Oryzias latipes: one gene and its partners. The main gene of each other region encodes a partner of the protein of the gene in region 7 in a complex. Links are inferred from orthologs where the notes say so. Each region holds a gene or a part of one and is shown on either strand. Other genes may lie near its edges.

Evidence for each region.
Region 1: sf3b5 (region 7) and snip1 share a complex: the UniProt entries of both Homo sapiens proteins name them as parts of the minor spliceosome. The link is inferred for Oryzias latipes from reciprocal best matches to the Homo sapiens genes SF3B5 and SNIP1.
Region 2: sf3b5 (region 7) and bud13 share a complex: the UniProt entries of both Homo sapiens proteins name them as parts of the minor spliceosome. The link is inferred for Oryzias latipes from reciprocal best matches to the Homo sapiens genes SF3B5 and BUD13.
Region 3: sf3b5 (region 7) and ddx46 share a complex: the UniProt entries of both Homo sapiens proteins name them as parts of the 17S U2 SnRNP complex. The link is inferred for Oryzias latipes from reciprocal best matches to the Homo sapiens genes SF3B5 and DDX46.
Region 4: sf3b5 (region 7) and scnm1 share a complex: the UniProt entries of both Homo sapiens proteins name them as parts of the minor spliceosome. The link is inferred for Oryzias latipes from reciprocal best matches to the Homo sapiens genes SF3B5 and SCNM1.
Region 5: sf3b5 (region 7) and sf3a1 share a complex: the UniProt entries of both Homo sapiens proteins name them as parts of the 17S U2 SnRNP complex. The link is inferred for Oryzias latipes from reciprocal best matches to the Homo sapiens genes SF3B5 and SF3A1.
Region 6: sf3b5 (region 7) and plrg1 share a complex: the UniProt entries of both Homo sapiens proteins name them as parts of the minor spliceosome. The link is inferred for Oryzias latipes from reciprocal best matches to the Homo sapiens genes SF3B5 and PLRG1.

What each region holds. Positions count from the first base shown.
Region 1 is NC_019874.2:23,603,914-23,607,984, reverse strand, and holds the start of snip1 (smad nuclear-interacting protein 1), read left to right. Parts: upstream 1-1,271; 5' UTR 1,272-1,399; coding exon of another isoform or gene 1,400-1,470; 5' UTR 1,471-1,575; coding exon 1,576-1,715; intron 1,716-4,071. Other genes in the region: dnali1 (axonemal dynein light intermediate polypeptide 1), read right to left, coding at 28-197, 749-861, 1,068-1,148. UniProt on the Homo sapiens protein: Required for pre-mRNA splicing as component of the spliceosome. As a component of the minor spliceosome, involved in the splicing of U12-type introns in pre-mRNAs. Down-regulates NF-kappa-B signaling by competing with RELA for CREBBP/EP300 binding.
Region 2 is NC_019872.2:13,070,039-13,074,212, forward strand, and holds the start of bud13 (BUD13 homolog), read right to left. Parts: upstream 2,801-4,174; 5' UTR 2,772-2,800; coding exon 2,635-2,771; intron 2,494-2,634; coding exon 2,406-2,493; intron 2,005-2,405; coding exon 1,920-2,004; intron 1,843-1,919; coding exon 1,444-1,842; intron 1,141-1,443; coding exon 836-1,140; intron 752-835; coding exon 643-751; intron 491-642; coding exon 352-490; intron 271-351; coding exon 89-270; intron 1-88. Other genes in the region: uncharacterized protein LOC101171185, read right to left, coding at 4,047-4,144. UniProt on the Homo sapiens protein: Involved in pre-mRNA splicing as component of the activated spliceosome. As a component of the minor spliceosome, involved in the splicing of U12-type introns in pre-mRNAs.
Region 3 is NC_019872.2:3,750,681-3,754,712, forward strand, and holds the start of ddx46 (probable ATP-dependent RNA helicase DDX46), read right to left. Parts: upstream 2,801-4,032; 5' UTR 2,690-2,800; coding exon 2,667-2,689; intron 2,460-2,666; coding exon 2,292-2,459; intron 1,561-2,291; coding exon 1,435-1,560; intron 998-1,434; coding exon 910-997; intron 839-909; coding exon 667-838; intron 567-666; coding exon 325-566; intron 198-324; coding exon 87-197; intron 1-86. UniProt on the Homo sapiens protein: Component of the 17S U2 SnRNP complex of the spliceosome, a large ribonucleoprotein complex that removes introns from transcribed pre-mRNAs.
Region 4 is NC_019874.2:27,122,062-27,126,205, forward strand, and holds the start of scnm1 (sodium channel modifier 1), read right to left. Parts: upstream 2,801-4,144; 5' UTR 2,709-2,800; coding exon 2,658-2,708; intron 2,439-2,657; coding exon 2,368-2,438; intron 2,295-2,367; coding exon 2,206-2,294; intron 1,787-2,205; coding exon 1,695-1,786; intron 967-1,694; coding exon 866-966; intron 775-865; coding exon 647-774; intron 554-646; coding exon 442-553; intron 1-441. Other genes in the region: lysmd1 (lysM and putative peptidoglycan-binding domain-containing protein 1), read left to right, coding at 3,522-3,704, 3,898-4,144. UniProt on the Homo sapiens protein: As a component of the minor spliceosome, involved in the splicing of U12-type introns in pre-mRNAs. Plays a role in the regulation of primary cilia length and Hedgehog signaling.
Region 5 is NC_019867.2:18,886,040-18,890,299, forward strand, and holds the start of sf3a1 (splicing factor 3A subunit 1), read right to left. Parts: upstream 2,801-4,260; 5' UTR 2,778-2,800; intron 2,667-2,777; 5' UTR 2,625-2,666; coding exon 2,577-2,624; intron 2,085-2,576; coding exon 1,975-2,084; intron 1,893-1,974; coding exon 1,688-1,892; intron 1,614-1,687; coding exon 1,356-1,613; intron 1,272-1,355; coding exon 1,197-1,271; intron 1,132-1,196; coding exon 981-1,131; intron 901-980; coding exon 704-900; intron 600-703; coding exon 482-599; intron 378-481; coding exon 70-377; intron 1-69. Other genes in the region: ccdc157 (coiled-coil domain-containing protein 157), read left to right, coding at 2,801-3,165, 3,303-3,453, 3,542-4,229. UniProt on the Homo sapiens protein: Component of the 17S U2 SnRNP complex of the spliceosome, a large ribonucleoprotein complex that removes introns from transcribed pre-mRNAs.
Region 6 is NC_019859.2:20,801,112-20,805,183, reverse strand, and holds the start of plrg1 (pleiotropic regulator 1), read right to left. Parts: upstream 2,801-4,072; 5' UTR 2,652-2,800; coding exon 2,643-2,651; intron 2,461-2,642; coding exon 2,354-2,460; intron 2,055-2,353; coding exon 1,918-2,054; intron 1,823-1,917; coding exon 1,769-1,822; intron 1,682-1,768; coding exon 1,588-1,681; intron 1,493-1,587; coding exon 1,411-1,492; intron 1,327-1,410; coding exon 1,228-1,326; intron 1,122-1,227; coding exon 1,029-1,121; intron 839-1,028; coding exon 689-838; intron 541-688; coding exon 439-540; intron 1-438. UniProt on the Homo sapiens protein: Involved in pre-mRNA splicing as component of the spliceosome. Component of the PRP19-CDC5L complex that forms an integral part of the spliceosome and is required for activating pre-mRNA splicing.
Region 7 is NC_019873.2:17,221,611-17,225,759, forward strand, and holds the start of sf3b5 (splicing factor 3B subunit 5), read right to left. Parts: upstream 2,801-4,149; 5' UTR 2,676-2,800; intron 802-2,675; 5' UTR 777-801; coding exon 516-776; 3' UTR 1-515. UniProt on the Homo sapiens protein: Component of the 17S U2 SnRNP complex of the spliceosome, a large ribonucleoprotein complex that removes introns from transcribed pre-mRNAs.

The DNA of each region.
Region 1 (4,071 bases), on a different chromosome or scaffold from region 7:
CTTTGTCCCGACCCTCCGCTGTCTTACCGAAACACTGGGAAAACAGAACCCAGCGGATGGGGCAGATGCCAGTTGGTTTGGCCTTTTTCTGCTTTAGCTTTATGTTCAGCTGCTCCTGCAGATGAATGACATCTTTCCTCGTGGTAATGGCTGTAGATACTTTCTGCACCCACTGTTGGTCCCCCTCTGTCCATTCTCTGTAATGGTAAGAAATCAGAATTTACTTGGAAAATCATTTGACAGTAACTTTTGGATGCTTTCGGGATCTTAGATTGTGTGTCAGCTTTTTATTTTTGAATTAAGTAAAAAGCAGACGTATGTGTGATAATGCACCTGTGGGCAATATTTGCTGTCAAGACTTGATCTTTTTAAGTTGATGAAAGTTGGACATTCACTGAGCTACAGGACCTTTCCTCTTTTCCTTGTTAGACATTAGGATTTGTTGGTGATCTTTGGATCACATAAAAACTACATTTGTTCCAACTGTAGCTGTTCCACTGTGTTGTTTAAAGTTTTTTGAGTTACATGGCATGAAAAGCATCTGTTTTACAAAAAAAAAGCCTGATTTTATTTGATTTCCCAGATTTGACTTTTGAGAAATAAAAGTTGAGGATGGTCATTGTGCTCTGGTGCATGCCACAGTCTATGTTTGTCTGCATAACTTAGGAAGAAGAATAAATAATAATGAATCTAGAATAAATAAATCTGAATCGTTGTGCTTAGGTGAGCTTTTGAGGTTTTCTTTTACCTAGGTGGTAAGATGGCATGCAAAATGTTTTCATCCAAATTCTGTGTAGGGGGAGATGGAACACCTGCTGCAAAGCTGGGAGCTGGAAGGTTGCTCAACGTTAGAGTACGTCCCTATTAACGAAAAAAAAGGGGGGAAAATTGTACATTTATTTGTATTATTATTTTTTTGTAATTTCTTTTATTATTTTTGAAGATTTTATTTGGTAGCCTTTCATTGTCCACAATAAAGAAATTATGGAAGTACAATGAGATTTCTAGCCTTAATTGATATAGTTTCTGGGCGCCAGTTAAATAGATCATTAACCATCAAGACTTACCTTTTGAGATTTTTTATCTCCTTTTGTTTTTACCAATATCGGATTATCGTATTTCAAGAGGGACTCGCCAAAAGAAGTCATCGTTTTGAGGTGAGAGAGCAAGTTACACGTTTTGTTAGAAATACCGTTTCACTGTTTGTGTTGTCATGGCGACACTTTTTCAAAATAAAATAATATTGATTTGAACAAAGTTTCATTTAAGAATACTTTTTATGTAATACGACACGTATATGTGTCATCAATGCTTCAGTCTATGACAAAAAAAACTTGAACATCACGTTTTCCCCATTTAAAACGAATTAGGCCATGGCGGAACCAACAATAGGGAGCACATGGAGCACGTCGAGGGGATTAATTTGAGTCACCGGAAACGGAAGTTTGTTTTCACAACGCCAGAAGTTTGGTAACGCATCAAAGGTTTTATTTTTTATCTTGGCTTGTCTTTGTCTAGCTACTGTGTCGTGTTTTGGTTGAATTGAGCTCAAATTTATTGGAAAAATAAACTAAAATGACTAAAGAAAAGCGAGACAGAAGAAGGGAGTCTCCAGAACGGCAGCCCGAAGTGAAGATAAAGCAGGAGAAACTGAGCCCGAGTAGCACTAGCAGGCCACACAGATCACGCAGTCCACAGGGGAGACGAGCTAGCAGGTAAATGTCTGAAGGTTTTACTACGATTCATGACGTAAAACTGTCTAAATATAAAACAATTCACAACATTATTTTTTTGTTGTACTTTCGCTGATGAAAATCTAGCTTCCGGTTTTCATTTTTGACGGTTACGGAATAAACACTTAACGTAAGGGATACCCGGTTGCTCCAAAAGAGTTTTGATCTGAGGTTTCTGTAAATCAAATAATCCTTAACACGTTTGTGTCAAAAGTAGTATAAGTATCTGACTCGTATCAAGTAAATCTTGTTTATTGTTCTAAGATATTTTATTACCGTCTTGCTGATAAATCAAGGTTAGACTAGAGACATAAAATTTGCTTTAATTTTTTTTTTTATTGAAATATACTCATTACAAAACTCTGGCAGACACAACAACACAATGATGCAAGGCACAGCTCTTCACGAAAAACAAAGATAAAAAAAAAACAAGAATGTATACATATATAAAAAAAACTATCAGCATAAATTAAAATACAAGGCAATCAACAATCTGGACCCTAGATTTGTAACCATTCTGTAGCAGATTTACAAATGTCATCAATGAAAGAATTTGAGTTGTGAATACATTTCAATGAGGATAAATACAATCTGACTTCATTTTTAAAACACAGGAAATTCGGCCGATCTTTTTTCCACTTTTGCTTATGAATATATTTTCCCAAAATCAGGAGGATGTTCACTATTTGTTGGCTCTTTTGGCAACTTACTGTTTTAAAACAAAATATGTTTTTCTGTGAATTGTATGTTGTTAATTTTTTGACTAAGCCAATTATGAAAATCTTGCCAGAATCTTTCACTGGTCTGGACATGAAAAAAACAGGTGTTGGGTTGTTTCTGGGGTTACCTGACAGAAATCACACGGATCAACCTCAAAGCCAAATCTACTTCTCAATGTCTCTGCCGATGGGTAATAATTGTTTATAATTTTGAACTGCATTTCTTTAATTTTGGGAACCACTGGCCATTTTATGAATTTCCATAGTTGAGCATCTGATGTGACAGGTGTCTCAGTTATTTTATATTTCACTTTTCTGTTAAAGTCATGGTATAATTTACCTCTAAAGGATTTGTTTAGCAATTTATTATCACGTTTTTTTTCACTAAATTTTATTTCTCCTATTACTAAATTTGGTAGTTTAATTTGAACATAGGAAGACAATATTGTATTTTTTATTAAATGTATTGAAGCAATTGGAATTGCTCAGCAGGTTTTCTGAAATTCCTCGGTTGAGCATTCAATATCATATTTACCTTTGAAGTCTCTTAACTGAAGAATTTCTCCATTTGAATCAAGAATATCACTTACAAAATGATCTTAAGATAAATATACTTTATTGATCCCAGCTTGGGAAATTGGGTTGATGCAGCGTCGGCGTTAGGCTCAAGGTACAAACATACAAACAATAGATGACAACAGAGAACCAGAACAATTTTATTTATTTTTTTATTTGAAATGGTTTATTTCAAGCAATTAAGTAGAAATAATACACAACAGCAATATAATCATCAGTTATACATTCATACAGTAACTAATCAAACTTAGGATAATTATACATATTAATAAATATTGCTTGAAAGGGAGTGGAAGGAAGCGAATTTATATAATCCCACCCCGTTATACTGTAACCATTTTATTACATGATTTATCAATATCCGGTTCCCAGTTTATATCATACAGAATTAAAAATCATAAGATATCGATAAAGCACATGACAAAGATGAATTACTTAAGTATTACGTCAAAAATAACTATTTTAGAAATCAACATGGCAAATGCAGATCAGTCATCTGAAATATATGCAGATTATGTTACTTATAAAAGCCATTCATATGAATAAAACATAATACTATATCAGTAAAGTAGACACAACACTGTTTCAGGAATTTTCATAGCAAAATTTCATCAAGTATCAAAAGTTAAAAACATGTGCAAAATTATGCTACATTAGGAAAGATTTTTGAATCAATTTATCAATTTTTGGAGAAAGTGAAATAAAATCATTAAAAGGCAATCAATTTAACAATTTTCAATAAGTCATTAATCATTTGTTTTACTTTTTTAAATATTTTTTTTGTATTTTTATTATTATTTTTTTTATAATAAAGTAATGCTGTAGGGGGAAAGTAAAAAGGGTCCATAACTGTCGATTGTCCAAGGTTGGTCTTTCTTCTTTAACTGATAACAGCCGTACTTCTGGGTTCAAAACAGAGTTTATAGTTCTCTTCGATGTTATGACTGCAGACATTAGATTCAGGTCCATATCCTTCTTCAGCTGATATCAGCGACGGTGAAAGTTGAGGTCAAGTTGTCTGCAGGTCAGAACTCTCTGCTGTT
Region 2 (4,174 bases), on a different chromosome or scaffold from region 7:
CTGTACTTGAAGTACTAATGCCCAAATTTTTCCATCAGAAGAGTAAAAAAAAAAAAAAAAGTACAAAAACTTGTAGAATGTTTCAAACCTTGTGTTTTTGAGCTTTTTTCCTTTTTCCGCCGAAGCATGGCAGCCATGGGATCCCCGTCCCTCTCCTGCTCCCTCAACATGCGGTCCAGATCTTCGTCGTCACGGTGACGGGCCAAGGGCTTCTGGGCTTCCAGCAGGGCGTCCTCCAGCTTCTGCTGCTCCATCTGATTCTGAGCCAGCCTAAACACAAACAATAACTTGTCTTCTTACATGTGGTGGAAGTAGCATTTTCAGTGACTTGGTATGGTTTTGTGGATTTACCCTTTACCCCACTGGGCATATTTTTCATCTTTTGCAGCCTTTTCTCCTGCTTTTCTCTTCTGCTCCTCCCTTTCTGAGGTCAAATCCCTCCTTTTGCCACTTTTGTCTCGGAAGACCGTCTCCGCATTACGAGATTCATCTGATGCGTAAATAGTATAAATAGTATAAAAACACTTTCATATACCGGTACTTCAGAAATATAGAAAGTCTAAAGTTATACGATAAGAAAAGGGTTGTTTCAAACTCTCTTTTTTTTTAAAAGTAAAACTGAAAAACAAAAGCAAGGCCAACCTTCAAGAGGTTGATTCTTTTTTTCTCTGCGTCGGTTTTCCTTTTGCTCTTCCCTTAGAATCTCCACAGATACCAAACCAGCCTTTCCTCCGGAAAGCATCCTGTGGTCCTGAAAAACACACAAAAATATTAGATGGGGTTTGTGCTGCAAATTAGGTTTCACACGAATCCCTGAACAGCGCAGATCCCTCACATGAGACTGGCCAGGTCTCCGTGGTGGTGACAGATCTCCATCCGAGTCCTTTCCACTCCTCGAGTGCTTTCTTGGTGGAGACTGGTCGGAATCGGATCTCTGCCTTGTTCTGGAGCGTCTCCGAGGGGGAGACTGGTCAGAGTCGGAAGCTTCTCGCTTCGATTGCTTTTTCCGTGGAGGAGATTGATCGGAGTCTGAATCCAGCCTAACCTTAGTCTTATGAGCTAAAGGAGACCGCCGATCATCTGGCGACCTTGGTTTACCGTGTAACGATGAGCTGGGCTTCCTTCTAGTGGGAGAAGACTCTGAGAATCAAAGAGAATGTTTGCACTATATATATTAGAGTGCAGAGAGCAAAACTAGTAATCCTAATATGAAATAGAAAAAAATAAATGTGTTTTACATAAACATTTTATTGTGTCAATATAACTATTGATATTTTTAGTAACTACTATAACCCAAAAATCTAAGAGGTTCCAGCTTTAAGCTTATTCAATGCTTAAATGGCATTGGTATGCCGTTTTCAGCTTTTTCAGTGACTTGTGCAAAATGAGCATTGTTCTGTATAAAAGCAAGAAAGAAAATCTTAACTGTAAAATAAAACTCACCTTTACTTTTAACTTTCCCAGACTTCCTTAAATGTTGCCTTGAAGGAGACTTGCTGGGAGAGTCATGGCGTCCTCTGCTAGGAGGAGATTTATCCGGAGAGTCATGGCGTCCTCTCCTAGGAGGAGATTTATCCGGAGAGTCATGGCGTCCTCTCCTGGGAGGGGATTTATCCGGAGAGTCATGGCGTCCTCTCCTGGGAGGGGATTTATCCGGAGAGTCATGGCGTCCTCTCCTAGGAGGAGAAATGTCTGGAGAGTCGTGTCTTGGTTTTTTGAAAGGGGAACCATGTCTCCCACTTTTCGATGACAGCTCTGGTGAGTCATGCCGACTTTTTTTAGATGTTAAAGGCTCCTCCTGCTCATTTTCTTCGTCAATTGTTTTGTCTTCGTCTTCATCCGCTACAGAACAACACAGTTAATATGAAAAACAACATAATTTAAAAGAAGCCAAATTTATATACTGCTTTTATAGTTACCCCCAACTATTTTCCATCTGTTACTGGTCCTAAAGGCCTCCATCTGTTTCACCTCTTCTGGCCGCTCATCGATGAACTCTGCAATCTGAGAAGGTAAATCAAAGTACAAAATTTAGGTTTCCTTGGCTTTAAAACTTTAATGTACATAACATAGACCAAATCAAATCATTATTTACTCTGTTCAAACATCTGTGTTGACTGCTTCACACACAATGCAAGTTTCCCACATATTTCATTCAAACCAATGTGTCAAATCTATCTTGCATCGATTATCCTGCATTAAAGCAGATCAATTCAATCTCACGTCAGATGAAATTCCTGTGTTACGTCTGGATTTACATTTCAATAATGTTAACAAAAAAGAAAGACATACATTTTATTATCATCAAATCAAATATCGCCATCAGACTTTCATGCGTGTAAAAGTTAAACATAGTAGACCGTACTGCGGGGGAAATGCTAACGCAAGGCTGCTAGCTAACTCACCACCGGAGCTTCCTCTTCATCCTCTTCGACATCCGGCTGCTGTTGGACCATTTGTCTCCAATCAATATCATCGTCTACTATTTTAAGTCTAGATAAAAACAACGAAGTAACACAAAATAAAAACGATTAAACTCATAGAAACAAAGTTCCAAATCAAAAATAGCTTAGCATAAGGAAACTAGCTTGGATGCTAACAGAAAGCCAAACGGCGCAGTATTTCGGTACTCACCTTGTTTCAGGAAGCTTTTTTCGTTTCTTCTTGCCTTTTCCTTTAGATGCACCATGGTTGTCGTCAGCTGATAAATACCGCTTTAAGTACTCAGCTTTAGAAAGCTCGGGTCCGGTTCCACCACCGACCGCTGCCATCTTTGTATTGTGGGAAACTACGGGTCGCGTCAAGGGTCAATGTAGACGACGAGGAAGAAGACGCGTTTCTGTATTATTATTATTATTATTATTATTATTATTATTATTATTATTATTATTATTATTATTATTATTATTGTTATTATTGTTATTATTATTATTATTATTATTATTATTATTATTATTATTATTATTATTATTATTATAACAAAAAAGTTACTGTTATGCATAAATAAATACATTGAAGATAAAGTTGACTCCAAAGAAGTTAAAAATGATAACTACTGGGCCACAATCTGCTGCAAGACTGTGTCTGTGGTGGGACCCAGTGACTGGCATACAAATAATGACTGTCACCAAAAAGGCTAAAATTGCCTGATTTCCCTAATTGACCCACAAATTTAGTCGGTCATACACCGATGCCTAGAAAGACAGGAGAGCAATGTTTTTGAATTGTAAAAGTCTTTACTCTTCTTTGCATACGATTTCAATTCTTGTTCTTATTTTTTTATTTGTCGATCATTTTTTTTACACTAAAACTTTTTCAAAAATATAGGCCGTCACTACTTGCTTTTTATAACAGAGACAAAAAGACCTAAATATTGTCCCTGTTACATGTCATGTCCAATATGTAGAGACAGATTAAATGTCATGGGTTATTGTTTATCTAAGACAGTAATAACCAGCTGCTGGTCTAGTATGATTTCCATGAATGACAATGCATTTAGGCTCCATTGAGAAAATGTGACATTTCCAAATACTGGTATTTATCTGTCAACAGTGTTCTTTGATTTATGATTTAAAAAAAACAACAAAAACAAACAAACACACAAAACAATTATATTTGTTCAATCATAAATGAAATGATTACAAGCAAATTCACAGAGCTCTTCTTTTATTAACAAGCAAACAAGAACACAATCAATTTGCTGCTTTTGCAGTGAGGAAAAGGCCACAAAAACTATTAGTGCTTTTTAATGTAAAAGAAAAGAAAACATAAAATCAATAATACCTCATTAATAAGTCAGCAACTGCATCTCTTAGTCTGCCATTAGACTGTCTCCCTCGACGAAAAAGCTGCACTTTCATTTCTACTAATGGTTAATTTACATTCAGTACTCACAGCTCTCAGCTCCTAAACATTTAAATCGTCTACAGTGGAAACATTTACCAGTGTTTTTTACAGAAGGAAGAGAGATCTATTCTGTGACAGAAGCGAAAGTGCTTAGCTTAGTGAGTATCTGCAAAAGCCTGACTGTTCTCTTCTCAGTGCCATCAGCTGTCATTGTGATGAAGGAAAAAGACCAGGCAGCCAATCAAGAACCAGGATCTCTGCAGAAACACGCTCACTGCTGAGCATGGCACCAGGGAATCTGTAAAGAGGGAAATTATTGAAGCACACC
Region 3 (4,032 bases), on a different chromosome or scaffold from region 7:
CTCACAGCAGGAGAATTGTGGCCGTTTATTTCCAGCACAGTCATCGTTTGGAGAAAGGCTGCAGAAAGCAGCTAAAGGCGACCCACCTCCATGGCATCCTGGTCATTCTCCATCAGCTCGCCCTTCTTCTTGTGAGTGCCGGCTCCTTTTTTGGTTTTGACGACTGTCACAACTTTAGTTACCATCATCGCCCCTTTCTGTGGGAAAAAAAGAAAACAAATATCACCAACAGAAGAAGAAAAACAGACGCCAAACGGAAACAGCGTCTTATCCAACAGCAAAATATAAATAAGAAAAATGTTAGCGTGAAAACACTTTACTCACTTTGTCATTTCCCTTCATGTCACTCATGTTGAACTTCTTCACCTCCTGCTTCACCTCCTCCATGTAAGCATCCAAAGGATCCACTTCGTCCTCCTCCGCCTGCTGCTCCATGGGAGTCTCCTTCTCCTGGTCTCCATCCTCCTTCTTTTCCTCCTCTATCTCCTTTTCTTTTCCTTCTTCTTTCCCGTCTGCACTGTCGTCGTCCTCTACCTCCATTACCGCCGAGTTTTCCTCATCATCATCTGAAAGGAAAAGTTTATGATGAGCAACTATCAAAATCCCCTGAACTGGTGAAGAGATAAGTCAGCTGTTGGAGAGTCAAACAAAAATGTGAATCCTCACCTTCATCGTCCTCCAAGCTCCACTTTTTACCCTGCTTCATTTCCTCCAGCTCCTTCTTGATCTCTCCAATGTTTTCAATTGCTTTCTTCCTCTGCTCCTCCCTCCACTTCTCCACTCGCTCCTTCCTTTTCCTCATCTCCTCCTCCAGTTTGTTCTGGTCAAAGTCTTGCTGCTAAGATGAAAGGATGCTATGCTCATCTGCTGCTACATATTTCAAACAAACATTTTTCTGCAGGTACTTACATCCTCCGTCTTCTCATCCTCTTTCTCCTCTTTCACTTTTTTCTTCTCTGATAGGGGATCAACACTGTCTTTCTCTTTGCTTTTAGGCCTGTGAGTCAACATTAAAAAAATAAGCATATACAGCTATTTAATGTTAACAATATAGAGTTTGAGTGAAACTTTGTGATTACATGAAATTGTAGATCTAGTAATAATTTCTTAGGTTATTACAGTTTTCTTCTCAATTTGACAATCATTATGTTTAATGGATTCAATGTGTTGTAAGTGCACTGTGTGTTTAAGTGCAGATATGTCCATTTAGGAATAGTAGCCATCATTTTCCTTCTTTTATGGATGAATTTATATATGATATAAAATAGATTTGATCCATCTGTTTTTTTTTTGTCCCTTTTTCCTGTGTTTTTATTGCTGAAATGAACCAAAATCAAATCAATTAATCCATTTTGAATTTAGGTTCAGAAACATACATGAATTTGTTCATTTTGTCTGTAGACAGAAGGTCTTCAGTAGTCTAAAACTTCTCACTTTTCATCGTTCGTTTTTTTGCTCTTTCCTGCGCTGCCGGACCGGGACCTGCGGGCTCGACTCCTGCTGGACGACCTCTTTCTGTCGCGGCTCCTGGACCTCCTCCTGTCTCTGCTTCGGGAGCGCCTAGACACCAAAGGAAACCAGAGAACAGACGGGGGAAAATAAGATATCAGTCCGAGATTTCAGCACTTTACTAACCTGCATAAACTGAACAGACTTCACACTCCTGGTGTGGGATTTATATTCAGGATTACTGTTTAGCGATTCTCAATATTAATTCCTCAAATATTTCAAATGTTTTTTAATGAAAAACGTGCACTAAATTGTAATACTTGATCTGTGATACGATATGGTTTCCAGAACAATGTTGTCTTCTTACATAATGAATATGGACTTTACCTTTGTTTGATAGTATTAATACTTATGGATTTATGTTAAAGGCCTATAATTGTGTTTGTTAAGTAAAATAACTGATCTGAAGTTAAGAACCGGTTATTGATCATTTATGTAAAAAATTAAAAAGTTAGGTAAAGCAAAATAGGGTTGAGATTAAATGTTTGTTTCCTCCCACTCCCTTTAAAGCAAATAAACTCCTTTAGACAAACCTGATATTTATTTTTTTCTGTGCGTGTTGTGTTCTGTAAGCATTAGAGCTAACATGTCTGTTTATGATTTGGAGTAATTATAATTTATTACATGTGTATGAGAGTTTGATATGTTTCTGTATGAATATTTCTGTTTTGATTCCTTGAAATAAACCATTTATTTCCAAACCCAAATCCAAAAGGACCCCTCACATTGAACTGACCGTAAATCCTCCTTTCACTGCTCCAGGTTTAACTCACAACACTCACCTGGCTCGTTTTCGGTCTCTGGATCGGGACCTCCGACGGTCGCGGCTCCGTGACCTGTCCCTCCTGCTTCGGTCTCGGTCATCTTTTTTGGAGGACCGTTTTTCGGGGGACCGACTCTTCGATCGGGAACCTGACCGTCCACGAGACGCCGAGCGTTTCCTATAATGCCTGAACCGAAAAAATATAGTTGTCCTTTAACGTTTAACTATTTCAGAACTGTTATAGAAGAAGCACGCACAATGCATTTGCTACGGACAAAAACATAATCTTTAGCTAGCATGCTAATGCTAGCCACTCAAATCAACGCTACTTTAAAATTTAAAGTCAGCTTTTATCAATGAAAATAAAAAAGTAAATATTTAAGAGGTTACTTACGCATACCTTGACTCACGAGCCATTCTGATGTAATCAATGTAGCCTACTTAAGATTAGTGAAATGCTGCTCGATGGAACAGGACTCAAGCGATGCACCAACGTCTAAATCGGCCTAAGTCAGACAACTTCACGACTGAATCTTTTATGGCGCCGCCCTGTGGACGGAGGGCGAACAGGTCCGGAAGTGCAACACAATCATTTTTTGAAATAAACTTTATTAACAAATATTGCATATACACAGAGTATCAAACACTGACAAAAATATCAAATATCAAACACTATGCGCAAATGACAAAATGTTCACATTGCCAGGAAAATGAACAAAAATGTAAAAATAATAATGGCAAAATAAAATAGGTTAGAAAAATAATGATAAAACAAAATTATTATTTGTAAAGGATTTCAAATGTGACCATGTTTAAACTAATCTAACAGCTGTTTTGTAAGTGCATGATTCAATATTTACATACAGAATAGTGCAACACAATCATGCTATGCACTTAAAACAAACATGACCATCCAATGTGCTATATTTATATTACATTTGAGAATCTATTACTGGTTTGCAACTGATAAATTAAAAATAGGCTAAATCACTCTGTTAATCTGCCTCTTTAATAATGTATAAACAGCAATGAACTTTCTATATAGGAACAAAAGACTTTCTATTTACATCCTTGGCATTTGCTAGGTAAAAAAGAAATGTGCCTGATTTTTGATTGCTTTAATTTTCAATTTAAAAAAACCTGTAATATGATGCAGGTAATAAGGATTTCGAATCACTTTTGGTTGTTATTGAACATGATTGTGAGTGTTTGAGACTGTACACTAAAAGTAAGAACCCAAATTCAAGCTGCTCTTGGCTAAATCTTAGAATTGTAAATGAATTTGAACTTTTTTTTATTAAATCTGATTTTTACAGACGCCCCCCCCCCCCCCCCCCCCAAACATTTACCAGCAATAAAAAGAGAAAACAAACCGTCAATTTATTTTAAAAACAAAACACAAACCTGTATTTTAAACACAGTTTTTATTTGGTATGAACCAACCGCATCAGAGCGGACACAATATTACAATCAGCCTTGATGTTTTATTTATTTAATTCACAGATTCATTTACAGGAAAATAAACACACACAACAATAAATTAACTTATTTGAAGTTCTAGTAGAGTTTGAGGCTTGACATGACCCTGGAGAAACGTGCTGCAAGCGCTTTATAAAAACTTTGAGTCTCGCAGCAAAGCAGAACATGTCACAAAAAAAACCAAACACAAATATGCTCACAAAACTCCCTCTCACTACACAACGGAAGATTTAGGTCTAAATCTTAACACAACTTTGAGTTTATACACATTTCTATAAATG
Region 4 (4,144 bases), on a different chromosome or scaffold from region 7:
TGATAAACTTTCACAATTATGAATTTATTATCTCAACCTTCCATACGTTTATTGAAGAACTTTGTTAAGATTTGGTGGATTTATTACTTTATTTGTTGATAGGCGTGCCATTTGTTTATGTCAGGATTGGACGCAGATGTTTTAAAATGTCAAGTCTTGTGTACATCCCATATATTTGTTACCCTATAAATCACAATGTACAGAAATGGTGCAAACACAAATAAATGAGTGAGAGAACAAATCAAGGAAGCAGAATAATTTCAACGGGCCGCATGTGAAGATGCTGGAGAGGAGCTGGGTGTGGAGCCTGAGGCAGAGGACTTCACTCATTTTATCAGTTTACTGCTTGGACTGTTAAGCTAAGAGTTTCTAAAACATAGTTTCTGTGGCCTGCAGATTCAATCTAGCACTGGTGACAAAAAGGAAAAGAGAGTTTTGCACCTTTTCAGTTTGAGGTAGTGCTCCATCTCTCTTCGCCTCTGCGGCGTTATGAGTTCTGCCGTTTGTCTCGACTCAGACTGACACTGAATTCTGTCTTTGGATGAACAAGACTCTACAAAAATAAAAATAAAAGCATCAGTTGAAACAGAACCATCAGTTATTTTAAATAAAATATCAAAATATGATTTCTAGGAGCAGATTTTACCTGTGAAACAATCACTAGAATCACTTGTGGATGCATTGTCAGAAACTTCTGGTTTCCAACATGCAGATGGGAAATTGTGTTGAAATGTGTTTCCAGCAGTGCTCGACTGTCCTTTATTCAACTTTGTACTGAAAATAAATAAATAAACAGATATATGTTCACATCTTTACTTCCATTTTAAACTACAGATGAGTATTTTAACCTTAAATGATGACCAACCTGGTTTTTCTGTGGCAGCTGTTGTATGGAACAGTCTTCAGAAGAGCATGATGGGTAAGTTTCCGGGTCTGTGCCAGTAAAGGTGCCGAACTGGAGGGCTCCTGCAATCACAACAAAAGAGACTTGTCTCTCAGACTGAGCTCTGACAGACTCCAACTCAGCTAAATGCTCCATGTGTCCTCTGGCCGGCTCTGCTCATGTTTTCCACCAGCAGACACCCGCTTCAACTCACGCTGCAGAGTCTACAGGTTGTCTGAGTCACGTGGCAGCCACAAGCACGTACTGGATGTCACACAAGAATACGACTTATTCTTATATCCATATTTAACATGTTACAAGCAGCGACATAATATCTTTACAGGAGTACAGGAGGTGCATCCTTTCTACAACTGTCATTCCAAAACAAGTCAATAAAGTACTATAATTCAGCAACAATAAAAATTTAACCACAATAACACTAAGTATTTAGTCGTCTCTGTAAAAACGGTCGGTCGGTCGGTCGGTCGGTCGGTCATCACACGGTCATCATGTCATTGTTTCGTGTGATGGTCGGTCGGTCGGTCATCATGTCATTGTTTCGTGTGATGGTCGGTCGGTCGGTCATCATGTCATTGTTTCGTGTGATGGTCGGTCGGTCGGTCATCATGTCATTGTTTCGTGTGATGGTCGGTCGGTCGGTCGGTCGGTCGGTCGGTCGGTCGGTACGTCGGTCGGTCGGTACGTCGGTCGGTCGGTCGGTCGGTACGTCGGTCGGTCGGTCGGTCGGTCGGTCGGTCGGTCAAAATACAAAATTACCCGCAGGTAAAATGATCAAGTTGAAGCTCCAAACCTCTTTGTCTTCTGCTCTGACATAATCTTCATGTTTTCTTTTTGCAATTTCATTCTTGAACTTTGACTTTTTCCCATAAAAGGATTTTAAACCTAAAACACAAAACAAAAAAACACAACGGATATAAAAGCATGCACCAAAAGCACATGCATAATAAAACTTTATTTAAAAAATAAGAAAACATATATGACATATTTACATGTCACACCCATTCTGGAGTGACATTTACATCCATTTTCTACCAATACTCTGTTATGTAGCATTAATGTCGGAAAACAACGAACGTCAGGCGAATGATGCTCACACCTCCTGTCATTAGTGCCTTAATATGACACACCTGTTACATCAACAACACAGAAGATCTGTTTGGGGCCAAATGTGCAAACACTATCTGAGAGAAATGAGCCTACAGTGTTTTGTCTACATCTAAATATGACCACCAAGACACTTTTATACTGGGGAATTTAAAAATTTTCCACACTAAGAGTCACTTTTTAAGGAGGATATTTACCTTCTAAATGCTTCTTCCCTTGCCTGTGGACTGTCAACATGTCAACTGTGTCAAACACTGGGCGATACGAACACACAAGGCACGTGTACCTGTGTGGAGCGAACGCAGAAAGGTGAGTTACTTTCACAACAAAACTGACACTTAGGGTTTAGTTATATTCACCTGCCATTACTCAGAAGAGCAGCTTCATCTTCCGGAATAAAATTGGACAAAAGGTCAGATACACGCCGTTTCTGTAAACCAACAGCCCAAATCATCAGTAAGTATTTCATAGCAGATGAAAAATTTACATTAAATACTTTACCAAACAGTTTTCATTTACTCTGTGTACATTATATCCATATGAAACTTGCTACTAGCTAAGCTAGCAAAACAAATAAAAAACGACAGCGTATGAACTTTAAGAAAGCCTATTCTTTTATGAATACAATGTATTATATCATTTTAAATACCTTTAAAATATTAAGTTGGCTCCCATCATTTCCTTCCCTTTTGAATGACATAATTATATCGAAGTAAATCAATGGTATAAACACCAGATTAACGGCTAGCTCAATGAGTTAACTCATTGGGCTAGCTTCTCTATACGTCACACTATCCCGGAAGTGTTGGTAGTGCTGCATTCAGGGACAAACATGTACACTTTTTTTGTCCACGATTTCCAGCTAACCACGTTGCAGTTTCCCATCGTACCATTTCATTTATTTATGGTCAAGTTAACTAGTCTAACAAACCATTGTTAAAATATTATTTTACATTTAAATTGATTTGTTTGCATGTACTCTTAAGAAAGCATCGATGTGAAATGTTTATAACATCACATATTTTTTGTAAATAAATCGCGAAGGGGAAAAAAACTGCCTATTTTAATCAATGAAATTTTAATTCATACTAAACAAACTCTGATTAAAATAAAAAAAATAAAAATGTTATGTTTTCATTTAAATTTCAGTATTCAAATTACTTTGAACACAACCCACCCAATGAGAGCCGTCATTCACAGCGGCAGCCATGGCAACAGACTGCAGCTGACTGAAAAAAACAACATATTTAAAGTTTTTAGATATGTTTTTAGATTGTTTACTGACAGTTAAGCTATGTTTAAGGTGTTTTAAGTAGTTTTTCTTCAATTCCCGACTGTTGATAAGGTTCAGGCAGTGCCATTTCGGCACTTTGGCAAGAAGAAGATGAATTAGTCGATACTTTAGCAGCTAGCAGGTGAACTGGGCTTGCTAGTTTAGGACGACGTCAAACCAGTTCCAACATTAAAATTGCGTACGTGTTACTGATGATTTTCACATAAATAATTATCGGATATGTCCGGACAACGAGCGGCTTTGCCATCCGGGAGAGGCGGTCTTCTTCGCGGAAGCCGAGCTATGTCGTACGGCAGCTTGATGCGATCGTCGCCGGCGTCTCCGGTCCGCCAGAGACACGTTGAACACACGGTTCAGTCCGGAGACACGCTCCAAGGTCTGGCCCTGAAGTATGGAGTCTCTGTAAGTATAATAAACCAGATTTGTACTCCCTACTTTAGACAATTAAAACAATTTGAAATATTAACAAGGAACATCTTTTGTTTCCACACTAAAAGTAAAATCTATTCATTGGTTTTATGTTATGACATAATTTTTTTTGATTCTGACATTTGTTAGTTTAAAAAAAAAACAACAACATTCTTCTGTCTTCCAGATGGAACAAATCAAGAGAGCAAATAGGCTTTACACCAACGACTCTATTTTCCTGAAGAAGTCTCTGTCGATCCCTGTTCTGTCAGACCTGAAAGGGATTCATTTGTCTGAGGACTGTGAAGAACAAAGTTCTCACGATGTCGTGGTTCAGAACGGGACAAACTTCTCTGAGAGGACAGACGATGATGGGAAAAGACCTTCAGACCTGAAACCTCTGGATTTTCTGAGAAGACTGGATGAAGGAATCA
Region 5 (4,260 bases), on a different chromosome or scaffold from region 7:
CAGGTTGATAAAAAAACGAGTTCAAATGATGCTTTTCACAAAAACCATGCTACTTTCTACGGAACTCACCTTCTCCTCTGGCTTCTGGATTTCCTCTTCACCAATCTTCTTACCAATGGCTGTCTCTTCAACACCAAAGATATCAGTACGCCTCTCAGCGAGCTGCTTCAAGCTGCTCTCGATATCCAGACCAGGAGCATAGACTTCATCCTCTGTCTGTCTATCCCTGATGCTGCGGTCTCTTTGTTCCAGCCAGCGTGGGTCCAGCAGACCAATGCGCATGTGCTCCTGCATCTTGCTGGCTGGGATCTTCTCACCAGTGATTGGTGAAATGAGGTACTCATCTGGAGCTGCAACTGAGGGCATAGGCTTGGAGGCTGTGAAAAAAAAAAAAAAAAAAGGAAACAAGTTTTAATGCACCGCTTGTTTTATTTGCTTGTTTTTATACTTCATAATATTTCAATCACAGAAAAAAATGTACCTTTGGGATCATAGTCTTTTCGAATGATGACGTGGTCTGGAGTCGGGGGCAGAGGAGGTGGCATGGGGTTGTCAGGTGGAAGTGGAGCTTTAATTCCATCGTCCTCATCATCTGATCCCTGGAGAAGTAGCATTTTAAATTTGTGAATTTGCTACACAAGTAACCAAGAAACCTAGACAAGTGTTGGACTTTGTATAAATGTAGTAAATGATAACTGTTTACCTCATCCATGTCCTGCACTTGTGTGTCTTGGTCAGGCTGTGAGGGTTGACCTCCGGCTCGTTTCTCCCGTTCATCCTCTTCATCCTCACTCTCAACTTCCATCTCCACCTCCTCACTTTCTCCATACTTCTCATAGCGCTCCTGGATGAGGATTCGAGCACCAAGCTCCTCTGGAGTGGTAGGTGGGGGGAAGTGGCCTTGGAAAAACACCAAATGAATAAATTAATAACTATGGTTCTTGCAACATCTGGACCTGGTGTTCCTATAGTCATGCTACCTTGTTCATTGGGCTGGAAGTCCACAGTCTCCACCACGACAAAGTCATGCCAGTCAATTTGAGCATAGGCTACGCGTTCCTTCTCTCGCTCCTCTTCCTCCTTCTTTCTCTCACGCTCCTGGTACTTTGCCCACTCAACACGGTATCTCACCTGATGTTTGTAACAAGACAGTTTTAAACATAGAAAATAATCTTCTGAAGGCTAAAATAAATTACCTGGTCCATAACCTCCTTTGGATTCTCAGCCTCTCTCTTTAGTTTGGCCAGCAGACCCTTTGGGGGGATCAGAATCTAAAGGTTGAGGCAACATTTAAAAAAGTTCAATAACACAGTTTCAATAAAAAAACAAAGAAAGCTGTAATTTTTGTCCTTTACCTTGGTATATTGTTCCACCAGTTTTGTGAAGTAGTTGAAAAGGCTGTGCTGGGGTCTCAAAAAGTCAAATTGGTAGTTCCTCTGTTCTTTTTGCATGAGCTGGGTGAGAAACTGACGGCCGTTTCGTGCAACAAACTGGGCAGTGAGCTTCACAACATCAAGATCGAATGCAGAGATTGATGGAGGATCAGCTATGAATTCAAACTCTGGAGGCGGTTCTTTGGGGACCACAGTTTCCTGAATCACCTGGGACTGCACCTGATGAAGAAAAGGCAAGTTTGTATAAATATAAACCCTTGTAGGTCCGGGCACAGTAAATAGACAGTCCTTACTTTTTGTGGAAGCTGCTGAGATTGCTGCATAGCCTGCTGCATAACCTTGGGCACTGCGGCGGACGGTTCTTGAGCTTTGCCCTCCTTAAACTCATTGACTTTGTGGCGGTAGTAAGCATGGTAGGGATCGTTGGGGTTGAGGAAATTAAATTTTGGATTGTTGATCTCATTCTGACGGATTCTTGCTTCAAACTCAGGCCCATTCCTGTAAAGTGACAAGTATAGAGTCAAACTACAGATAGCAAACACCTCTTACAGCTGTACGTGACAGTTCTTTGGCAACCAACCTGGCAACAAAGCTCGCAGTCTTGTCAACTATATTACGGACCTCAGGAGGAGGATATATGATGCCAACAATAGGTTTAGTGGCTGGAGTTTCCTCCGGAGGTGTATCATTCTGACAAGAGAAGGTTCAAAGTAAGAATATTTATATTTAAAAATAACATCAAGTACAGTGAAGTTCCTCCTTAAAAATATTATTACACAAACATTATCAATTCACTTATTAATTAATAAGACTTACTTTAGGTAATTCTAAGATACACTGCAACAATTTAAACATTAAACCACTCGATCATTAAAAACCTGAGAATACAACTAACACATTTAGTCTAAACCATATGCAAAGATACCAAATATTGAAGTGCAATCATAGTTTAAGTAATATCTGTTACCTAATTTTATTGACTTTCTCAACTTGGGAATTTTTAGGGCCACACATATAGACGCAAACGTTGCCCCATATGTTTTACAGCTTTATAAACATTAGCATTTAATTTTGGACAGGCTTAGAAAGCTTTGCATAAAGGGGGCGAATTTTATAAGGCGATAAATCATTAAGAAAAGCGACGGATATCTGAGGCTAATGTTAGCTAGTTAGCGTCCTTACCTTGTTGTTAGGCTCAGGCTGAACCATTTGAACAGGCCCGGGCGGCATGGCTGCGTCTTTTTAACGAATCACCAATTTTACCTGAAAACACTAAAGCAACACACATATATTTTGAAATGAATTCTTTAAAAAAAATTCTGTAAGTCAAAAAGTAATAGCTAATACAGCTATAATTCTTTATTTGTCGACGTTAATACTCACCGCGTCTCGTTTTCGTTAACGCAATGGCGGCCAATTACTTCCGGAAATATCCGCTAAGAACTGTGGGACTTGGAGTTAACTGTTGCCAAGGAGACCTCACGTCAACAAGTACTTATAGGCGCCAAATAAGCGTTTTAGACATGAGTTTGTTGTTGGGTCGTCAGGATTCTATCAAGAATCTAAGAAAAGACCTCATCGATATTCAGGGTGCGGTTCTGGACGTGCTCTCCAGAACAGGACCAGTCTGCGCTTCCTCCTGGAAATTCCCGGACAAACTTTCCTGTCATCTAGACATTGTTGCTTTGTTGGAGGAATATGACTTCGTGGCAGGAGAAGATGACTTCAATCAGCATTCCCACATTATTCTCCTGGAATTGATGATTGACAGGTAACCTAATGTTGTATTGCATGTAAAATATATATATATATATATATATATATATATATATATATATATATATATATATATATATATATATATAATGACTTTAAAAGCATCTCTGCATGTTCTTGTTCCCCAACAAGGCTCCTGTTTCTTCTTCAAAGCGTCAGCGTTTATGCTGAACAACAGATGGGGGTCCACAGACCAGAAGGAGCTGCACACAGAGGCAGCATGTCAGTTGGTCTTGTGGTCAGGAATTATTGGGGGGATTTACTTCAATTTGCAGATAAAAAGGTAAAGAAACCTCTTTTTCTAGTAATGCCACAGGGATAAAAACACATGCAAAAGTATTTGACTTTAAATGCCTTTTATGTCTTTTTAGGAACTCTTCAAAAACATTGCAGAAAAGACAAATTCAGTGGAATCTGATGAGTCAAACGTCGAGTCCCCTCTCAATAGATCCAGCACAAGTTGCTCCAGGCATTCTTCCATATCCTGGTCTTCCACAAGCTCATTTAAATTCCTCCCACAAAATAACATCACCATCAGTTCCCCCGAACAAACCTCATTCCATCCTAAAACTGCCTCCCATAATGTCAGCTGCCAGACTGCACAAACGTCCCTCATCCCTTGTGGTACATGTCACCAAGTGCAATCTCTTTTGAGAAAAACTGGAGAATCTTTGATAGATCTGTTTCAAAGTGAAGGTCTACCCTCATCTCTGCAGCCTCTCTCAGCAGTTGTGGATGAGACAGTGAGGGTGGGACATCTGACTCCAGGTGATGTTGCACAGTGGGCCAATGAACAGCTCAGAGACATGCGCAGGCTGGCAAAACACCTGCAGGATGTGAGGGGAACGGTACTGCCCCTCCAAGACAGAGTAGCAGCAGCTGAAACGGATCGTGAGGCCATCAGATCTCAACTAAAAACAGTGCAGAAGGATTTTGAACAACAACTAGAAAAACAGCAAACAAATATAGAACAACTGGAGTTTTCACTGCAGGAAGCACAGAGAAGCGCAAAGCAAACTGAACAAAAGCAACAGGAGGAGCATAAACAGCTTAAAAAAGGTATTAATCACATTAACCAGCACAATAAAAA
Region 6 (4,072 bases), on a different chromosome or scaffold from region 7:
AAATATTGGCATTAAAAAAAAGAAATTTCCTTTCCAGGGACTAATTGTAGAATTCCTAATTCTAACAATTATAGTCTGACTTCCTTGTTTTTGCCACGATTTCAGACCCTCATGGTGTATTTTGGATAAACGAGGAATGTTTTTCTTTTTTGGATCAGTGTCCTTAAATTGAACTTTTGTTTACAGGGGCGTTTACATTTGTTCATACACAAAAGAACTCAAAAGTGTTTTGCTTTCTCCAAAAACCCCAACTATGGTTCCTATGATAAAACAAAAACAATTTTTTTCTGCAGCTCTAGACATTTGAGCAGGATTATTTTTAATACATCTGTATTTATTTATTTAAAGATCTGAGCTTTGTCACTTCTTGTCTGTCATGTAGGATTTTTCTTCCATGTGTGACATATATAAAGAGTAATGAGTGGATTCCGATCTTACCCTCGCTGTGGCATCTCTGCTGCACGTCATCAAGACATCAATAGTTGGATGAAGGTCCAAATCATACACAGCACTGAGGTGGCCATGATAGTGCCGGATTACCTAAAACACAAAATACTCATGTCACTAAAACACCAAAACTCTGACGTATGAAGAAAAAGAAAGAAATGACTGAACTTTTTGTCTTTGTTTATATTCAAACAGCCCTAAAATGTTTTTTTTTAGAGATATTGTGAAGAGAAGCTTGTACCTTGTTGTACTCTAGATCCCAGCATTTGACTTGCTTATCCTCTCCGCAGGAGAAAAGGTACGGACTGCGGCTGCTCACCGCCACTCCACGCACTGTACTGATGTGTCCAGTCAGAGACAGTTTCAGCTTCCCACTGGCCAGGTCCCAGATCTGAAGGAAAAAGCAAGTCTCATGATATCCTTTCCCTGTAACAAAACACTCCTGGTTCTTTTTTTTTTTGCTGTTCCACCTCAACAAATGCAAAAAGGAGAAGAAAAAAAGCTTTGTAGTGTAAAAACAGTATAAAAACAATCAGAACAACGTATTGTATAAATAAAATAAAAAATAGAGAAGAGATAACCTTTATTGTTCTATCTGCAGATCCTGTCACAAACCACTGATTTCCAGGCTCCACAGCGATGGACCTGACCCAGCCCAGGTGGCCGCTGATGACCTGTCAGGTGACAAAAACCTTTTTAGTAATCACGTGAGATGTTGCTTCCCCTCCGTCACCGGATTTGACACAACTGAAAAGGAGTTCAAGGATAATTTGCAGTTACTCTAAAGAGTTTCCAGGGAGGATGCCACTGCGGTTTGGGCATGACCGGCGTTCTCCTCAAGAGGTTGGAATTTCTGGTGCCGCCTCCTTCCAAGAGCAGCTGCAACGAACAGATTGTTGCGTTAGAATTTTGTCAACCAAGACTGGGTGAGAAAAAAAAGCGCTTAAGAAGCTTGTGATGTACCAGAGCGGTGGACTGAGCGTGAGCTCTTTCTGCTCCACGACGGATCTCTGCAACTGTGGCTGCAGTGCGGCTGGACTCTTGTCTAAAACAGCCATCAGAAGACAAAAAATAGATATATCAATGAATCCCGAAAAGTTGATTCAGTACTATTTGTATTGATTGACTGAACAGGATTACCTTGCTTGTGATGGTGGTAAAGCCAGAGCCAAGGAGTGGATTCCTGACTCACTGGGGTTTCTGTGCACTTTTGTGTCAGCTGTCAGGGCGACTCCTGTTGGGTTAAAGACATAGATAATAAAAAGCTGGCTAAAAAAATGAATAAAGTTCCTTTAAGCTTGGCTAAAAGGAAAGTATTTACCAGGTCCAGAGGGATAAGCGTGCGTTCCCGTGATCAGATATTCAGGATCATCTGCTGAAGTTGTCGGAAACCAAAGACAAACAAGAAAAAAAAGTCAGATTTTTACAATTTAAAACCAAAAACACTGAACGGTGATGCTTCCCACTCACCCGGCTGCATGTAAGCTTCGTTGTCGTGGAGACCGTCTGGATACTGTGACATCCTGTCCTTTCCTTCTTTTAGCACTGGCATGTGTAACACAGGACTGTAGTCTGCCTTTAGCTTCACGGCCAACTTCAACTTGTGGCTTAAAACGAAAAAAAAAAAGAGGAGCTTCAACGCAAACCCACCCGTGTGCCCACGTGAAGTGGAAACATATAGACAAACCATCTCCAAGTGCCAAAGATGTTTATAATCAAAACATGAAAAAATATATTTTCTCCCAATGCATGCCTAAAAGGTTAAAGTAACCCTTTTGATGTGAACTATTGCATAATAAACTAATAAACATATTATGAACGCACGATTAGCATGACCGTGAGTTTTAACTAAAGTGATGATACACATTTTAAATACAGAAGTCATAAATGTAAAAGCTCAGTATACCTTTCATCATCTAAAGCGACGGCTTTAGCATGGTCAGCCACGAACATGTCATGAGTCCTTTTCAAGGATCTGAAGACCAAAGTGTGGACTGAGTGTTTCTGGACTTCCTGTAACAATTAGAAGGAAAAAAAAGTTTACTTGAAAGACGAGTCCATGTGATTTATCAGGGGGGATACACTACAACGTGTGAAGATTCAGAACGTTAACATCCAGTAGTTAGACGGGTCCAGTGCTGTGTGAGTCTAAAGCGTGGACCAAAGAAAATCAAATAACTCAAATAAAGTCTCACCTCGGTCATTGTGGCGATAATAAAGATTGATATCACACTGCAGTTAAGTAGTTTTCGGTGAATATAATCCACGAACACCGTAGGTGTAGCAAAGCGACAAAAACAGTCCACCGCCGCGACAAACGAGTCTGCATGACCCGGAAGTACAACAGCCTGAAAGGCTAAAAGATTTATTTTATGAGCGCCCTCTGGCGGTACGTCTCATCCCAGCGTCTCACAGTGGCGGAGATTATGTTTTTCTATTATCAAGCCCCCATTTTTCGCAATTTCTCCGGGACGTTTTGAAATACATATACATATTTTAGGGGGTTTCAACATTTTTTTTAATTATTCAGTAAAAAGGCAAATTTAAACAGTTCTGTGCCGTTTACACATTTGGTGCAGAAATAAATTAAGGGTTCATATAAAAAAATAATAATAAAAAATAAAACATTTTGTTTTTGATGTGAAAAAGAACTAGTGTCTGGGAATTACTTATTCCCCTTTGCTAATGACCATTCTTCCAGCCTCTCATACATGTAGGCTGGACACTACTGAGTCTGCTCTATTTAGAAGTTCACAATTGTTGATTTTATCCACAAGTTGGTTTGATTTGTTTTAGTTTATTAATCTTTTGCTGTTAAATTTCCCTTTTAAACCAATTTTATTATTTATTAAATATTGTTTTAATAAAAAGGTTTCACAAAAAAAGCAATGAACTCATTTATTAAGAGATGAAATAATTTACAGTAAATATTTCAAAGGAAAATTTGATTTGGATAAATTCCTGCAACAACCAAAGCAGCCTGAAAATAGTACAATCATCTAATCTTATATAATTGGATTCCAGTTATTTCTTGGTTGTCAATGTATTATTAGTGCTCTGAAGATACATTTTCAGGTTTTTCTTCAGTTCTTGCTGTCCTTATCTATGCTTGTAATTTCATTTTCTACCTCCTGCCTTTGATTTCAGTGGTTCACAGCACAGTTGATTTTCATCAAAGACCTGAAAATTGTGTTTTCTGTGTTTTTAACATGTTCTTCAGCCATTTTTCTCATGATGGAGGACATTTATAAAGAAAATTTAGCTGCAAATTGCATTTCGGAGTATTTCTTTATTCAAATGTAAATCAGGAGCAGATAAAAAAATACTGTTTGAAAAAGGTTGCATTTGATATGCAGAAAATACCCTAGGTGGGTCAGAAGCTTCCTGCTCTGTGCTTTGGGGAAGGGGGGCAGGATTGCTCCACACCAACAGTCCTGCCCACAACTCAGAGGTGATTTTCTAATGACTTACTGTTGCACTGCAGAAACTATGTCTTAGAAAACGATACGTTTTTCAATTTGTGCCAAAAAGTGGCACAATTAAAAAGCACAGGGAACGCTTTTCTAATAGATCAAAAGACGATCAGAGTGGAACTTTAAGCGTTCTGTGTTCATAGGGCCTCTTG
Region 7 (4,149 bases):
AAAAAACAAAATCATATATTTTAAGCAAAAACAAAACCACTGCTATAGCCATTGCTGCTCCTTCAACAAAGTCCTAAGGATGACTTTGGTCTTTTTCTTTTTACAATAAAACGTCTTGTTTGGATGATTTATTCATTTAAACGTTCTCACTTTTTTAAATGCGTTTTAGAAAACTGACATATTTCCAGAATAAAATGATCAGTGAAAGAGCTTAACCAAAGGAAAAATAATGTTTTCATTAGAAATACAACAGTTCAACATTGTGCACATATTGGACATTTTTAACATTTTCTGAAATGGATAAGTTCAGGTGTCGTCATTCTCATTCGTTTCCTGAAAGCACTACAGTTAATGTATTCACCGATCAAACAAGTGAGAATAGCTTCAGTGAACACATGAATACCAGATTTTACTGGCTGCTCTGACCTCAAGGTTAGAAACAAACAACCGTCCAAAACTGAAAAAAAGAAAAGGTAAGAGGGAAAAAAAGCTGCAGCAGTTGGTTGGGCTGTGTTTTATGCATCATCGGGTTTGTCTGCAGGTGGTCCACATGGCTGAAGCATCTTCTCCATCAAGTTGAAGCGAACACGAGCTTTGCTTTCATTTTCAGCGATGGAAAAGTAGTTGAGCAGGTCAAAATGACCCATGTAGGAGCAATAAGAGTCACGGTGCTGGTTCACCAGCCATTCCCATTTGGTAGTGTCAGCATGCCCTGTTCCGATGTACTTGGACTGGAGATGCTCCAGCTGACTGTGGATATTGTATCGGTCAGTCATTCTCTCTGAGATCAGTCAACAGGCTCTGGGAGAAAGAAAGTAAATCAGAGATTTGAATTGTGCTTCAGCAAACAGACGATCCAGTCAGATAAACTCATAAACAAGAAGGTTTTAGTTATTCTTGTGACATTTGTGAGGAAAATTACAATTCAAAGATAAAAACAAAATAATTTGAAGGAAAAAAAAACTCAAAATAATGCCTTTTTTATATTATATGGTGGTACATGTAAATAAATTAAACCTTTAAGAAGCAAATGTTATAAACATGGCTAATGGTAAATACACTTCACAAGCCTATAAAATTCTATTATGTGTCTCTCCAATGAGTGGGGAGCATCTGAAAGTAAAGATTACCACATCCAACTGCTAAACTTCAAATATATCAATGAATGTCAGTTATACCATGGTCCAGGTGAATGCTCCATTCTGATTGGCTGCTGAGTGGGGATTAAGTAAGGGATAGTCACCAACAAAGTATACGTTGCCAGAAATTAACGCACGCCGTGGAAACCCAAACTGCCCGATGCTTCCGTTGATTATTAGTGCGTTGATTATCCTGCTTTTACCATGGTCACTTACAAAACAAATACATTTTCAATCAGTTTTTAGTCATTTATTCTTGTTATTTTTTCGGTTTACGTTGCTTTTTTCAAAAAAAGCGGACTTTTTGCAACATGGTGTGGCGTGTTGTCACGTTACCGTAACATGACAACACGCTGAGCTGGCACCGACCTCCACTGCAGCAGTAAAAGCCATAAATAAGCTGATCGTCATGATGGTGTATGTTAAATTAAAGCATCAGTTCAGAATGAAGGTTCACCGCTCACCGCTTGTTTTTATCCAGATGATGAAACAAATGTCTGTTTTAAAAAAGCCGGCGCAGTGACACAGAACATCTAAGCAATGTAACTGGAACTTCTTTTTTTAGACGTGCGGTTATCACTTTTTTAATGCACACTCAGCAGCCAATCAGAATTGAGTATTCACCCGTACCATGGTATAATTTCTGATAATGGACACCTCAAAGGTCATTATCCGTCTTTTAACGGACGACAAGGAAGCTTAAACTGTCAAGACACCTTGTCAGCTATTATCCTTTACTTACCCAGCATCCCCACAAAAATCTTATAGGACACATTGAACACATACCCATTCACCAGTCTATTATTAAACTAGTGTAGAAGTAGAATAATTATTAAATTACTATACTTTGCAGTGGTGTGTATAAACATCAAAATAAAATATTCAGTAAAAACAAAAATATTAATAAACCGTAGAGTTGAATGTCTAATACAGACTTTTCCCCTTATGTTTCTTACGTCCCTTTTCTCCAGATCATATGCAGTTTACTTTGACATAATGAAATACAAAAGCTTTGTTTTGTTGTTTGCACACCAACAAATTCTGTATTTCTTAGATTATCATCCCTTTCAATAACATGAAACAAGTTTTGAATTAGTGTGACAAATTAAAAACAAAGGCATGACTGATTTGTTAGAATTACAGGAAAACGACGGATTTCTCACAGCTATGCAGATTTGAACCTTTTAGCCTAGCTAAACTGCTAGAAATTCTGGTCTTAAGGAAAGGACTCCTCGGAGAGTCAATGGATAATTTTCCCATGAGGAAAATCAATATAATGCACAACTACCAGAAATTAAATAAAATCGTGTCATACTTTATTGCAGATATTTACCATTTATGGTATATGACCGTTTTTGAAAGCACGACTATCCCTTTAAAACAAAGTTACATTTTACTTTGTTAGCTTGATCCTATATCATTAGCCTGGGTCTCGGCTAATAACCTATTTAAACTCCTGAACTTTAGTTTCTCTCGTAGCCAGCGGTGCAACTTCCATGTGGCCATCGATGATATACATATAAAAGGTCAACTTACTTGAAAAGCGCGGGTTTGAAAAACAGGTGAAGCTTGAAAAAGATGATAAAAACTGCGTCCGTCCGAACACACCGCGACGAGCAGAAGCTGGCTTCCGGTTTGCCTTCGACTTAACAAACCGGTGAGAAACCGAGACGGTGTTTTTTTTGTTCCGACTTTTTATTCCTAACGCGATGGTAAAGGTGGACACCAAAGTGAACGACATATAAAACCTCATTTTATGGAAAGGTGAAAGGCAAGTCAAATATTCTGTATCTATTCCTTTTTTTTTTTTTTTTTACAATGATAATTATATATATTCTTGGTCATAAACAGGTTAGGAACAATATTTTTAGATCTGAAAACAGTTTCAGGTTTTCGGTTTTAAAACAGCAGGCATTTAATGAATGTCAACTGTAGTGGACACCAGGACCATTTTAATCTATTTAATGGCTACACATTATTTTTAGGTGAAAGAAGTGAAGCTGAGAGGATTCTGTACCAGATAGTCGAAGGTTGATTCATATTTGGAGCTTTCGGATGATGAAAAGGATGAGGAGGGTGAGATTCAGTCTGTGATAGGTGATGATGAAGATGAAGAAGATGATAATTCAGGAGAATCTGATGAGTCAGAGAAGGTGCAGCAAAGTCTTCGTGCTCTGTGGACCAGGACTAACTTGCATGTTTTATTTAGTTTCAGGCTAATGTCTTACATTTTATGACCATGTTAGAACATTGTAGTGTTTGTACTATGTTTAAATGGAAAAAAAAAAAACTGCTTTTTTTATTAACTTGATTTTTTTTGTGTTTTTTAAACGTACATCATCACAGGTTTACACCTGTGCTAGCAGGGCGCCCCGCTCAAGATGACCCCAAAGTTTGTGAATACTGGAGTCCAATCTCGTACTTTTCACAGTACATCGATAACAATATTTTCGAGGATCATCTAATGTTTTTTGGGTGAATATCACTCTAAAGATTTAATCTGCTCCTTTTTTCTGATTTTCCAAATTGATCTCTATTTTCACAGAAATATCATCCTGTTGTCTTCTATCTACAATAAAAAATATTTTTAAAAAAATTAAAATTGTTAGGTGTTCTAGGCCTAAATAGATAGGAAATCACATAAAAACAGGAATTGTAAGACACTTTTTTTCCTCGGTTCTCAGGAGGTTGAATGTTTTTTTAAATTTTTACATTAAAGTTTTACATTAGACAGGAATGGTCTGATGGTTTTCAGATGTCAGTATGTGACCAGTGGCCATGTATTCACGTGTGCAAAAAACCCTGCTTCGTCAGTATTACTAAATGTGCTACATAAATCAAGTAAAGTTACAATATTTTTCAGTGATTCCAATATTTTATAATTTCTTTCATGCTATTTATGACACAGAATAAGAAACAGAACAACCTCGTTCCTTTTTTTTTTTTAAAAGAAGCTCCATTTTAAAGGAAGAACATCACTAAAGTTTATAAATAATGCATGTTCTGCTGC